Linked DNA regions of Xenopus tropicalis. The protein of the gene in region 1 purifies or fractionates together with the protein of each later gene. This does not show direct contact. Links are inferred from orthologs where the notes say so. Each region holds a gene or a part of one and is shown in the gene's direction. Other genes may lie near its edges.

Region 1 (6,367 bases):
AAAAGGCACTGTCAGGTCGGGTAGTGGGTCAAAGCAAGTAAAAATGCGGATCTGGTCGTGGCTTGCAGGCTATGTGTCCAGGCTTTAAAAATTGGTTCTGTGCAGGACTTTACTACAGACTGAGAGGGGCATTATTGTCTGCTGCTATTTACCAGTGGGATAATGCTCTGTGTGCTATAGCCTTTTTAGTTACTTTTTTATTGAGGCTCTATTTACATCCTTTCCTACCCATCTGCCACTCTGTCATTCAGACTACTGCCTTGTGGCTATACTAAATGAGACCCTAGCAACTGGAAAAGCTACACCATTAAGTTCAGTAATCATAATTTAAAGGGGAACTCCTCCTATATGCAAATAGGGAAAGTATGGGTGCTGTTTTGAACTGATCATTCCAGACAGTGACTATTCAGAGCAGATGCTAGACGCCCAGCAATTGTTCAGAATAGCATAGTAATACCTGTGTGTCCAGAGAGAAGTCCCGTTTTGTGACACTCATGCCCATTGATACAATCTGACATAGAGCTAAAATGACAGTCACAGATCTACTCATGTGAACTATAACTCTTTGACAATTACAAAACCTTCTCTTTCCCTCTCCACAGTGGCCAAATGTGAATTTAAGGAATTGCAAAGATGAGCAGCTGCACAGGTAAGCAGGACTTAAATTCAATGCAATGATGCACCTTGTCCCTAGAGACTTCCTGGGAACACTGTGCTTTCCAGATATTTTTATTTTGTGGTCAATGCAGAATATAACCTATAGTGATTTATAAAGCCAAAATATGTTTTATTCACCCACTTTTATTCCAGTTCTTGCCTTTGTCAGCTATTATTTTTCAAAGATTGCTCAGCTTAACAATACAGAGGTGACAAAAAAAAAATAAAAAATAGGAGACAGGAAAGAGGATATAAGGGGAGAAGAGATGTGAGCAATTAGCCAGGACTGGGTCTTGTGGGGTATTCACTTTTTAATGGGTTAGGTTAGGTTAATGGAATGGACATTGTTAATTCTGGACTGATGTGTTTCTAAATCAGTCTTGCAACCTCATGATGGGTTCAGGTTGTGCAATCCATTAGTCATTTATTTTTCATGTGGTGCAGGTATGTTCTTGCTGTGCCTTTATCCTTGGCTGCCACCCAGCAGATATCAGCGGTACCCTATATACTGCACACGCAGAGCAATGATAGTTGGTCTTTGGTGCCAAAATGCTAGCTCGAGAGTTTGGCACCAATATCAGCCTGTCGCCGCTGTATGAGAGTCTAGTTATCCACTTTTCATTCACTAGTATTTGAAGCAGGAAGAGGCAAAGAGGGCTGTTTTGTTGCTACTCTTGTTTATCAGATGGCAGCAGCTGACAAAACGCTCATTGTGCCCAGGGCTTAACCTCTGTCTAAAATACAAGCAATTTGTCTTTGGTAGCCTTCTGCTTGGCACCCAGCAAGTTATGTAGTAATTTAATGTCCTGCTCATACTGACTAAGATATTCACATTTTTTTTGCCTTTCAGGTTTGTTCGGCGACTACTGTATTTTTACAAGCCTAGCAGCAAGCTCTATGCCAATTTAGATCTGGACTATAGCAAGGCTAAACAGCTGACTGTCGTGGGCTGCCAGTTCACAGAGTTCCTTCTGGAATCCGAAGAAGTGAGTAGAGAGACTGGAGGCGGATCCGTTTAATTATACATCTTTCAATAGGTTCAGGAAACTCCCTCCCCCCTTCCATTTTATTGTATAATTGCTAAACTGGTGATCTTGTCTAAAATTAAATGCCTGGGCCCCTATCACCATGTTGGCAAATCCAGACTGTATATGTCATATGGGTTCTCTCTACCCTAGTGGTAATTAAGCAGTTACTGAAGAAAGACACTTGTTACGTTGAGTGTGTTTATAGCTCTACATAGAACCAACCCATCTCCCTTCTAATTAATGCAGGTATAAAATGCCCTGAGCCAAATTTATATCATTATCTGTTGTTGCTTTCTTAGGATGGGCAAAGTTACCTTGAAGACCTGGTGAAAGACATTGTGCTCTGGTTAAGCTTGTCATCAGGAATGAAATCAGATCGAAGCTTGCAGAACAATGGCCTCCTAAACACACTCAGCCAGCACTACTTTCTGTTTATTGGTACTCTATCCTGCCACCCACATGGCGTCAAAATGCTGGAGAAATGCAATGTATTTCAGTGGTAAGTACTGCCCCACATACATTGCAAGTGTGGGACCGTGTCACATAAACCATGTTTGTGTATTCTGGCAAATGCCTAACTAGAATGTAAAAACCCAGTATAAATGGGTTGGTTGAAAGCCGCACTGTATGTACTTTACTCCTAAAGGGGAAATGAGATGTATGTAATATACCAGTAGTTTGATAATAAAGCATGGAGACGCGGCTCACCAGTCCGCACCCAGTATATCACCTCCGCATATTTTGGTTAGAGGCCTCAGTGGAAATTTTCATAATCAGTTTTCACTTCTGCCATGATGTTATCCTTTGACATCAACACAACAATGCAGTCTGTTTTAGGCCGAGCTTGTTGGTCAAAACCGAGATTGGATCTCTTACAATATGTAGTCTCTCCCTCTTTAAAGAAGAAAGAAAGGTAAAAACTAAGTAAGCTTTATCAGAAAGCTCTATTTAAATACAGCCATAAGCGCTCACAGAATCGCTGCACTGACTTCTCTCAAAAAAGATTTCTTATGTCTGTGCCAGAGACACGCAGCTTTCTGCTCTCTCCTGCTCCCCCCTCCCTCAAGAATGCTAAGAACTCACTCCCCCCCCCCCCAGGAATGTGGATCTGAGCCAATCAGCAAGAAGCTGACTCATAGGGGGAGATTTACTAATCCACGAATCTGAATCCCGAATGGGAAAAAAACGGATTGGAAACTAACATTTTGCGACTTTTTCGTATTTTTTGTGATTTTTTTTCGTCGCCTCTTTCGTATTGAGCGCTCGTAAACGGCGGGCAAACCTTTCCGACTTTGCATGATTTTGGAAGCCTCCCATAGGACTCAATGGCACTCTGCAGCTCCAACTGGGCCCAAGGAAAGTCACGATTCTGACGCTTGAAAGAATCCGAAACTTTCGTACTCGGCGCGACAGTAGGATTATTTCGCGACGTCGATGAAAGAAATCACTAAAATACCGATCATAACGAAAAAACGCATTCGGATGCTTTTCGGACGTTCGTGAATTAATAAATGTCCCCCATAGTCTTAATAACTGAGCATGTTCACTTGGTATGGGTGTCTGTGCAGGAGCGAGGCATTATGGGAACTTTCTTTACACAGCTCAGCATTTTTTCTTCCTGTTTGGCTTCTGATCATCTGAACGGGAGAAAAATGGGGAGACTTAAGGGCACTATTGAGAGAACTGAAGGTATGCCTGCAGCTTGAGATTAACTCTTTACTAGCCTTTCCTTAAAGGTGGCCATATACAAGGTCGCCAAGAGAGCAGATCTTCTCCCGATATCCCCACCTACGGGTGGGTGATATCGGGCTTATTCGTCGTTTAGGCACCATTTGTTCGGGGACCACTTTAACGAGCCAATGCGGTCCCGGATCCGTTGGAAAAATCAAACCTGGCCTATTTCAGGCCAGATGTCGGTCAGGCAGGCCCGTCGTTTGTGCCCATAAACAGGCAGTTACGCTGCCAAATCGATCTAAAGGACTGATATCGGCAGCTTGGCCCGTGCATGGCCAATGCAACTCTGTATGTCTAAGATGGTTCTTATGGGTTTTTTATCATTTCTTGTTTCTCTCATGGGATAGGAATATCTAAAATAGCAATGTACAAAATTGATTCTTGTGGTGCAGGTGAGGATTTTATTAGCTAGAAATGTCCAGTGCTAATAATAAATGCCAGAGTACTGACGAGAAAGTGATATGTATCATTTATCTAAATACTACGTTTATAATTATCGTTTAGCAGCCTTTAAATTAAGATTCTAATGCAAACCAGTGGTTTCATTAAAAAAAAGTAATGGTTTATAAAGGGTTATCCAACATGTATGAATCTTCCACAGGAGGGACAGATGGTGAGGTACTCATCCCAGCATGCAGTGGGCTTGTCAAAAAATTATGTTTTGTCAGTTTACTGCTCTTAAACGGAACATATAATGTGTTTATGTAGCTAATGTTTATGTGGCTTGACTTTGATATATAATGTAAAATTGCTCAGAATGACCTTCTAAGCACTTTCGCAGTTAATAATTTGTTTCCAAAGCTATTAAGCAGTTTATATATTTCAGTATAAGTTTTGCACTATTAGCAATTTTACATTACATTTTTTAAGGTTTACTTATCCTTTATAGACCGTTTTTTGGGCCATGTCTGTGTTAGAAATGATTATGTACAATGTCTTCTTGTCTAGATGCATAATGTGATGGCACATACTTGTTATTTATTGCCCTTTTTAACTGATTAAAGCTAATAGTTGTGTTGCTGCCACACTTATTTGTTCAGTTTTACACAAAAAAAAGTGTTAGCCCGCTGGTCCCTAAATATCATTTTTAACACATTGGCCACAACCCCCCCCCCCCCGAGAGAGGGAAAGAAAGCTTAGCTTCTGATGTGTTATGTTACTATGTGTCATATCCCTGTGAAAGGAGATACAAACCCAAAAATAACCTTTTGCCTTTTAAAGCAAAAGTCATTCTACACATCTTTCAATGTACGCTCATAAAAGGTTTTCATTTGTTATTAAGCCATTTGCTCATATAAAACCATGTCTTATCTGCCCCTGTTTATTTGAAACCGATATAGCAAAGGTTAGCTTTGCAATCTTCTTCACAGCTGCCTTCTGCAACATTGTTTCAGAAGTCAGAACCAGCAGTGTTGAAAATAGATAGGCAAAGGGGATGAGTGGTGAAATGTTTTAAGATAAACTCTGAAAAGTCCAGTTGTTTTAGACTGAATTCTACTAGATATTGTATATCATTACCTAGATGAATGAGAATCTTCATAGACACTGGGAAATAGCTTAGAAGTAAAATTCCTTTCTATATATCTCCATCCATGCAAGGTCATTAATATGAGAAGGGAAGGTTCAGTCAGTGTTCTGTGCTCTCTTGCAGTCTTTTGAATCTTTGCTCCCTGAAAAACCAAGATCACTTGTTAAAGTTAGCCATCTCCTGCCTGGATTATAGCCGAGATGGGCTGGCCAGAGTCATTCTTTCCAAAACCCTGACTGCTTCTACTGATGTGAGTATGATCAATCCCTTTGTGGCCATCACAAGTCTCATTTTTGGAGGGGCTGTTTATGGGTATTTATATCTACCATATGCCTCATGCATATGTGCTGTGTAGCTGAGCACGAGTGTCCTTGTGGTGTCATGAAGGGAATGTGAGGATGAGCACCGGCACCGCTGTGATACCATGATAAGAAGGGAGAAATATACTGTATATTCTGCTGTGGGAACCCTCCTTCCAAATACAGGCAGCTTTGTATTTATGGGGATAGTGGTCCGTCTCGATTGAGACCTGCAGCAGTTTTCTGCACCGAGAAAAGGCAAAGAAAGGGCCCCTTGCTCGCTGGCTTGGAAGCCATAAATGCCTCCTTGTATATCACAGGTGTAAAGTGAAATGTGCTCCACTCTACTCACATTCCCCTTTGTTTTTCCATGCTTTTTTATTCTCACTCTTGTTCTTCCATATTAACCCTTTTTGTCACCCTTCCTGTGATCACCCACCTTCCCTCACTTTGATTCCTTTCCCCATCTTACATTTTCTGCTTCTTTTTTCCCCCCTTATCCCCATTTTCTTCTATTCTGCTCTCCGTTTCCTTAAAGGAGATGTAGACCCTAACTTTTCCTACCATGGATACAAGTTGGGGACATTTCCCGCACTCCAACCGCATCATTTTTACTGCATGAACATTAAACATTAAAATATCTGTCTTTCTGTACAGAGCTGCCGGCTGTATGCCACCAAGCACTTGCGAGTCCTTCTGAGAGCCAACGTTGAGTTTTTCAGTAACTGGGGCATTGAGCTACTGGTGACCCAGCTGCATGATAAAAGCAAAAATATATCTTCTGAAGCTGTGGACATCTTGGATGAGGCCTGTGAAGACAAGGTGATTTGCTTGCTTGCCTAATTAAAACCAATTATTCCTAAGAAAATGCATGTTGTATAAGAACAATCTAAATAGTAACAATATGCTCAATATAAAAATGCAAACAGAATATTTTGGTCTGTAAAACATAATTTCTTTCTTTAAGGCCAATCTCCATGCACTGATCCAAATGAAACCGGCACTCTCTCATCTCGGGGACAAGGGGCTTCTCCTTCTCCTTAGGTGATTTGCTTACAGCCTTGCAGTACCAATTCAACAGGAACATTCACCTTGTGGTTTACTAAATGTTTTTTTTTTTT
Region 2 (6,367 bases), on another chromosome or scaffold:
TGCTAACTTATTTTTTGCATTCTTGGTACTGTCAGGTGCCGGCATTGGTCCAACTATACAGATTGGCGAAGAAACCGTAATAACAGTTGATGCCAAAGCAGCTGGGAAGGGTAAAGTGACCTGCACTGTGTGCACTCCAGATGGCACAGAAGTAGATGTTGATGTGGTAGAGAATGAAGATGGCACCTTTGACATATTCTATACAGCTCCACAACCTGGAAAATATGTTATTTGTGTGCGCTTCGGTGGGGAACACATTCCCAACAGTCCTTTCCAGGTCACGGTAAGTAAAAGGCATATCAAAGATGCTTTTAATTTTTTTTTTAATTTTTGAAATTTTTATTGGGTTTTATGTACAATCCAAACAGGCAATAGACATAGTCGAGCATCGGTTCAAGGATAATGAGAAAAAGCATAGTGAACATCACAGAAAGTGGTTTGACGATGCTATCTATTATACATAATACTTAAAGCATAAAATTGTATTAGGGAAGAGACTGTCCGTTGTTGTGTATTGCTTATGGCTGTTGGATTGAATTAAGGTAACCGGGGAAGGGAGGGGGGAAAGGGGGTATCAGACAGAAGGAGCGTCAGGTGTAGAATAGTCGTGGGTCCATCTCTTATACTAGCTTCCATTACACAGGCCTATGGAATCTATATGCTGCCATTTATTACTCCTGTTGTCTTTGAATCGGTCAGCAGAGCAAACACTCCATTAGTTGTTAATTTGGATGATTTGTTAGGTTTGATATTTTCGTTTCCAAGAAGGCTCGCCAGGGTCTCCAAGTAGCCCAATGAGTTAGATGCTTTTAATTTAGTCTGCTTGAATGGGAATAATATCTTCAAGTTTCCAGAATGTTGGCTTTAAACTTTTCCCCTCATAAAGTGTAAAGATACATGTTGTGTACATAATAGCATGTCCACAAGGACCTTGGCAAAATTTCCTATGCTAAAATTTGCATTTCCCAGTTTTGTCGACCATGAGAGGAGATGTTTGAAGTTTTGGGGTTTTTTGTAATCTGAATATCCTACATGCATGTGGTGCCTGAATTTTAAGAGCTAGGCTTGCTGCTAGAATATTCCAAACCCATTCAGCATCTTTCCTCTGGAGATGGATTGTTTCTAGAGATTGTAAGATACTATACCTTGAACTCAACCAGCACTAAACAAAATATGAGGAAACTGTATCGGACTGTTTGGCCAAACCTCCTGTCAGTATACTCTGGGACCAAACTGTTCTATATCTATAGATAAGCAGAGACATTGTATTCGGTTTAGTAATGCACTAAACTCTCCATCAGCCAGCCACATTTGTGGTTCAGTCACATCAGTGTTCTGTTTATGTATGGTCTGCACACACAGATTGATGGGAAAAGTCTAGACTGGAATAAAGGCATATACAATAAATCCTAAAGAAATGACACCTAACACAAAAGACTAGGAATCACCTCTTCCTTAGGTTTCTCATAACACACAAAGTCAAATAGAAATGTAAGATGGGAATTGGGAGGCAGGAACTGCATAGAAGACCAGTTGAACCTCTCTTGGTGGTGGCCATAGGCGTAGAGAACCATTAGTTGTGCATAAAGACTTGTATCTCTGTAGGTTTGGAATCTTCACATATATTCCTGGGGGAATCGTGATCTGCTTCTGCTGCTAGCATTTGGAAGTTGTATTTCAGCAACAGCTGGGAAACGTTTTACGATATAGTCAATCCGTTGACCTGTGTCTTGTTACTTGACTAGCTGGAAAGTAATCTAACCTTTGCTTACACCTCCAACACAGGCTCTGGACGGCGAGCAAATGATGCCTCAGCAGATGGTTCAACAGCAGTTAGCCCCACCATACGCTTACCCGGGCATGCAACAACCCTGGGTACCCTGCCTTTAACAGTAAATGTGTCATTTGGAGGTGAATAACCTTCCCAGGGCATTGAGGGTTTGGAGAAAGGAACTCTGGAATCCAGTACTTGCCACAACCACTGCATCTTCTCAAAGCTTTACTCTATCAGCTTGTTTGTTTGTTGCAGCTGGCCTCTAGGGGTCTGGTTTGAGCTCTTGGAGTATTTTCTGGGTACCCATTTATAAGGGGGCGGAGTAAAAAACATATGGCTTTATCTGCTGGGTTGTTTGAAGTGACTTGCTTTGAATGTTAGCGATGAACTTTGTTGCATGCTCCTTCACAAGTACAAACCGTCTTGTGCCAGCTTTTAAAAAAAAAAAAAAAGCCTCTCATTGGTCAGACCTTTATCTATATTTCTGGTCTTTCAGCCTAACCTACCCTCTGATTCTGTAGGGAATGCTTCACTTCAGTAGCTTTCTGCTGTGACAAAGCGCCACCATGGATTCTAAGGAGTTTTATTTTCCTTCCCTGCATGCAATGCCCTGGAGATGGACTTTCACCTCGGTCTCCACTGGCCTTCAAATTTGGGGAGGAGGGTTGATGTTGCTGGGCTCAGTCTTTGTCCGTTCCCATACCTTCCCATTCTTCTTTTTTTCCCCCTCCTCATACCCAACATCTAATGTCTCCCTGCCCATAAAATCCATCTCTTATCAGATTTCCTTACTGTCACCAGCCCTTGTGTGGGTGGCACAAATGAGGTGACCTTTTCCACCTCTGGTCAGTCTTCACCTGGTGTCTGATGACTTTGTCTAATGGTCTCTTGCAGAATTCATTTTCCAGGTTTGCCAGCTTTTTTGGATAAACATCCTGCAAAGACTAAATCCATTTTTTTTTTTGTGTGTAAAAACCAACTCTGTTTCAAGTTCAAATAAAACATATATACCATGTTTCTTAATATGAATTGTTTTGTATTCTATCAAACAATTCACAGAAAGCTTTATTAAATAAAGTTTTGCGCTAATATTGAATTAATTTAATCCACGCCACAGCCATTTTTACTTATCAGCTTATTACCAAGAAAGTGGACCCGAGGGGGAGGGAGTCACATGTACGTTTGGCATATCCAACCTATAGCTGCAGCTTTACAACACCCCCCAGATATATCATTGGCTATCAGAATGTTGAATTGCCAGAGCTTATTTCTGGAAATCCCCAAAGACCATACTGATAGAAGATGATATACTAGATTCTATAAACCATTTAGAGGTTTTTGGGGTTGGAATTGGAAGATTCCCTGAATCTGTCCCTACTGACTTTGCTGCTCCTCAATCATTATGATGTCCCATAGTAGGAAACTTGTGGTTTTTACATTACATAGTTATTGCTATTTTCTGTGCATTGTCTTTATTGAAGTACAGATAAGAACTTGCACTGGAGTTGGGAATCTTTTTGTCATCTGTTGACGGAAGTGTTTTGTGTTTCCTTGTCAGGAAGGACTCTTTACTCACTTAAGTTTCATTTCAGGCTACTGATCGTCCAGTTATGGGTGTAAATGGACTGGATGTGGCAGGACTTAGACCTTTTGATCTGGTTATTCCCTTCACCATTAAAAAAGGAGAGATTACAGGTAAGCATGGAGTAGAGGAAACAGACATTAAGCTGTTGTCTGACTGCAGTTTTGCATGACAAATGTACTAGTATTAAGTGTTGATACTAATTTTTTCTACCATGGTTTTGTGGCAAACTAGCATAACTTGACTATAACATTTCTAAGTATGACTAGTGATTGTCTAGCCAAGAATTTTGTGTTTTAATAACTGGTGGTAACTAGGGTGTTGTTGGTTAATAGGGCTTTGGGAGTAGAACAGAGTTTGCGTATCATAGTCTATCATTTATGATGATAATAAGGAAGCCTTGTATGATAGTGGAGGGTGGGTGGAAACCAGAATATCCAAGGCAATCCCTAAATGGAACACTAACAGAATTTTCAGTTTATCTGTCCCTGTAAAGCACTGCGGAATATGACCCTATATGAAGTACAATTCTGTCCTTATGGGTTTTCCATAAGCTATAAGTAGTTTGTATTAATAGGTCCATGAAAGGGAACTTTGTTGGGTGGTCGACCACCTTTTTTTCCGCTAACAAAGCCATTCATTTTGACTGCAGGAGAAGTGCGAATGCCATCAGGGAAGGTGGCCAAGCCTGACATCACTGATAACAAAGATGGAACAGTCACGGTGAGATATGCTCCCACTGAAGCTGGACTCCATGAGATGGATATAAAGTATGATGGCATGCATATTCCAGGTAATATTCTGCAGCTCCACCTTGGCACCAATCTGTTAGGAAAACCTTTAATCCTTAAAAGTAGCTTGACAATTTTACTGGCAAAGGGTTTTATAAGAGGCTTGATTGATATGCTGATATTTGTATTAAGTATTCTTGTACTTTGCATTTTGACTGGCGGCTGTATTTATTTTTCACTCTTAACCAGAACTCTTGCTTTATAGGAAGCCCCCTACAGTTTTATGTGGATTATGTAAACAGTGGCCATGTTACTGCCTATGGCCCAGGCTTGATTCATGGAACAGTGAATAAACCTGCTGTCTTCACTGTGAACACTAAGGATGCTGGAGAAGGTGAAAAGTTAATGCATTTCATTGTCCAACATGAATGCTAGCTCTGAACTGAATGCCATGACTAATCTTTTATTTGTTTCCTAGGTGGCTTGTCACTAGCTATTGAGGGCCCCTCCAAAGCAGAGATCAGCTGCACAGATAACCAGGATGGGACCTGCACAGTTTCTTATCTCCCTGTGCTCCCTGGAGACTACAACATCCTAGTCAAGTATAACAACAAGCATATTCCGGGAAGTCCATTTGTTGCTAAAATAACAGGTAAGTTGTATTGGTGATCACATAAAGCAGAAATCCCCAACCTTTTATAGTCAAAAAGTTTTGGGGAGCAACACAAAAATCAAAAATATTCCTTAAGGTGCCAGTGAGAGCTATTTATATATAACAGGCTATTTGATAGCCCCTATGTTGACTGGAAATCTACACAAAGCTCTGTTTGGCAATTACACTGAGATTTTATGCAAACAAAGATTGCCTTCTTACCAGAAATTTAAAAATAATCGCCTGCTTTGAGGCCACTGGGAGCAACACCCAAAGGGTTGGGAAGCAACATGTTTCTCACGAGCCACTTGTTGGGGATCACTGACCTAAAGCTTCCTGTAACTATAGCACAAGCTCTGAAACCTGATATTTGTGTGTTTTCTTAAACAGGAGATGATTCTATGCGTATGTCCCAGCTGAAGGTTGGGTCTGCAGCAGACATCCCCCTGAACATTGTAGAGACAGACCTGAGCCAGCTGACTGCTACAGTGACCTCTCCATCTGGAAGAGAGGAGCCATGTCTGCTCAAGAGGCTCAGAAACGGCCATGTTGGTAAGAATGATATATGCATGGTGAACTAAATATGCCGAAAATCTGGTCTAATTTAATTTATGTGCCGGTATCATAATCCTCTACACATGTCCTTTTAAGGTCTTTGCTCTAAATAATCATAAGGCATTTTCACTGTACATACAATTTAATGAATTCTTTCTGTAATCCTATACCTTCTTTAATCTGCTTGCTTCTTTTGTAGGCATCTCGTTTGTGCCAAAGGAGACAGGCGAACACATTGTTAGCATAAAAAAAAATGGTATCCACATCCCCAACAGCCCAATCACTGTAATGATCAGCCAATCCGAAATCGGGGATGCCAGCCGAGTGATAGTGTCTGGTCAAGGTCTGACTGAAGGGAGGACATTTGAGCCCGCAGAATTCATCATTGACACCAGGGAAGCAGGTACCTTTTATTAGAGCACCTCTTATACACCACCAGAAAATATAATAACCTCTTTGTTGGATGTCTGCAATAACCAACATGGTTGGTGTAGAAGCAGTTCTAAAACCAAGTCAGCAGGATGACACTTTGGTCTATGTTTGATCACTTTTTTTAATACTCAGCCTTTTACTACTGTTGCCTACTTGCCTTTTTTCTAAAGGTTATGGTGGACTTAGCCTTTCCATCGAGGGGCCCAGCAAAGTGGATATCAACACAGAAGACTTGGAAGATGGGACATGCAAAGTTACTTACTGCCCAACTGAACCTGGAAATTATATTATCAACATAAAGTTTGCTGATCAGCATGTTCCTGGTACGTAGTATTAACACTGATGGTACTTTACAGGGATGAGGAAGGGAATTTGGGTTCTTTGCATTTTGATTCCAAAACACCCTCTGTCCTATAACCTCCATCTATGCCAGTTTCCATAAGCCATTATTTTGCCTTATAGGCAGCCCCTTCTCTGTCAAGGTGACTGGGGAAGGAAGAATGAAGGAGAGTATCACTCGAAGACGCACCGCTCCATCTGTGGCAAACATTGGTAGCCAGTGTGATCTGAGCCTAAAAATACCCGGTAAGATGTAGTTCTAAGATCTGAAATTCATTGTCTAGACTGCCAGCTAATTAATG

The links. Proteins that work in one complex are often made in the same cells at the same time.
Region 2: the proteins of rictor (region 1) and flna purify together in Homo sapiens (affinity purification with mass spectrometry; 3 studies listed by BioGRID and IntAct, with this or other methods). This does not show direct contact. The link is inferred for Xenopus tropicalis from reciprocal best matches to the Homo sapiens genes RICTOR and FLNA.

What each region holds. Positions count from the first base shown.
Region 1 is NC_030677.2:197,055,400-197,061,766, forward strand, and holds part of rictor (rapamycin-insensitive companion of mTOR), read left to right. Parts: intron 1-602; coding exon 603-649; intron 650-1,507; coding exon 1,508-1,643; intron 1,644-1,984; coding exon 1,985-2,184; intron 2,185-5,070; coding exon 5,071-5,197; intron 5,198-5,903; coding exon 5,904-6,068; intron 6,069-6,213; coding exon 6,214-6,290; intron 6,291-6,367. UniProt on the Homo sapiens protein: Component of the mechanistic target of rapamycin complex 2 (mTORC2), which transduces signals from growth factors to pathways involved in proliferation, cytoskeletal organization, lipogenesis and anabolic output.
Region 2 is NC_030684.2:31,808,899-31,815,265, forward strand, and holds part of flna (filamin-A), read left to right. Parts: intron 1-35; coding exon 36-283; intron 284-1,785; coding exon 1,786-1,875; intron 1,876-3,366; coding exon 3,367-3,469; intron 3,470-4,008; coding exon 4,009-4,149; intron 4,150-4,352; coding exon 4,353-4,481; intron 4,482-4,565; coding exon 4,566-4,739; intron 4,740-5,129; coding exon 5,130-5,291; intron 5,292-5,493; coding exon 5,494-5,697; intron 5,698-5,896; coding exon 5,897-6,049; intron 6,050-6,188; coding exon 6,189-6,311; intron 6,312-6,367. UniProt on the Homo sapiens protein: Promotes orthogonal branching of actin filaments and links actin filaments to membrane glycoproteins. Anchors various transmembrane proteins to the actin cytoskeleton and serves as a scaffold for a wide range of cytoplasmic signaling proteins.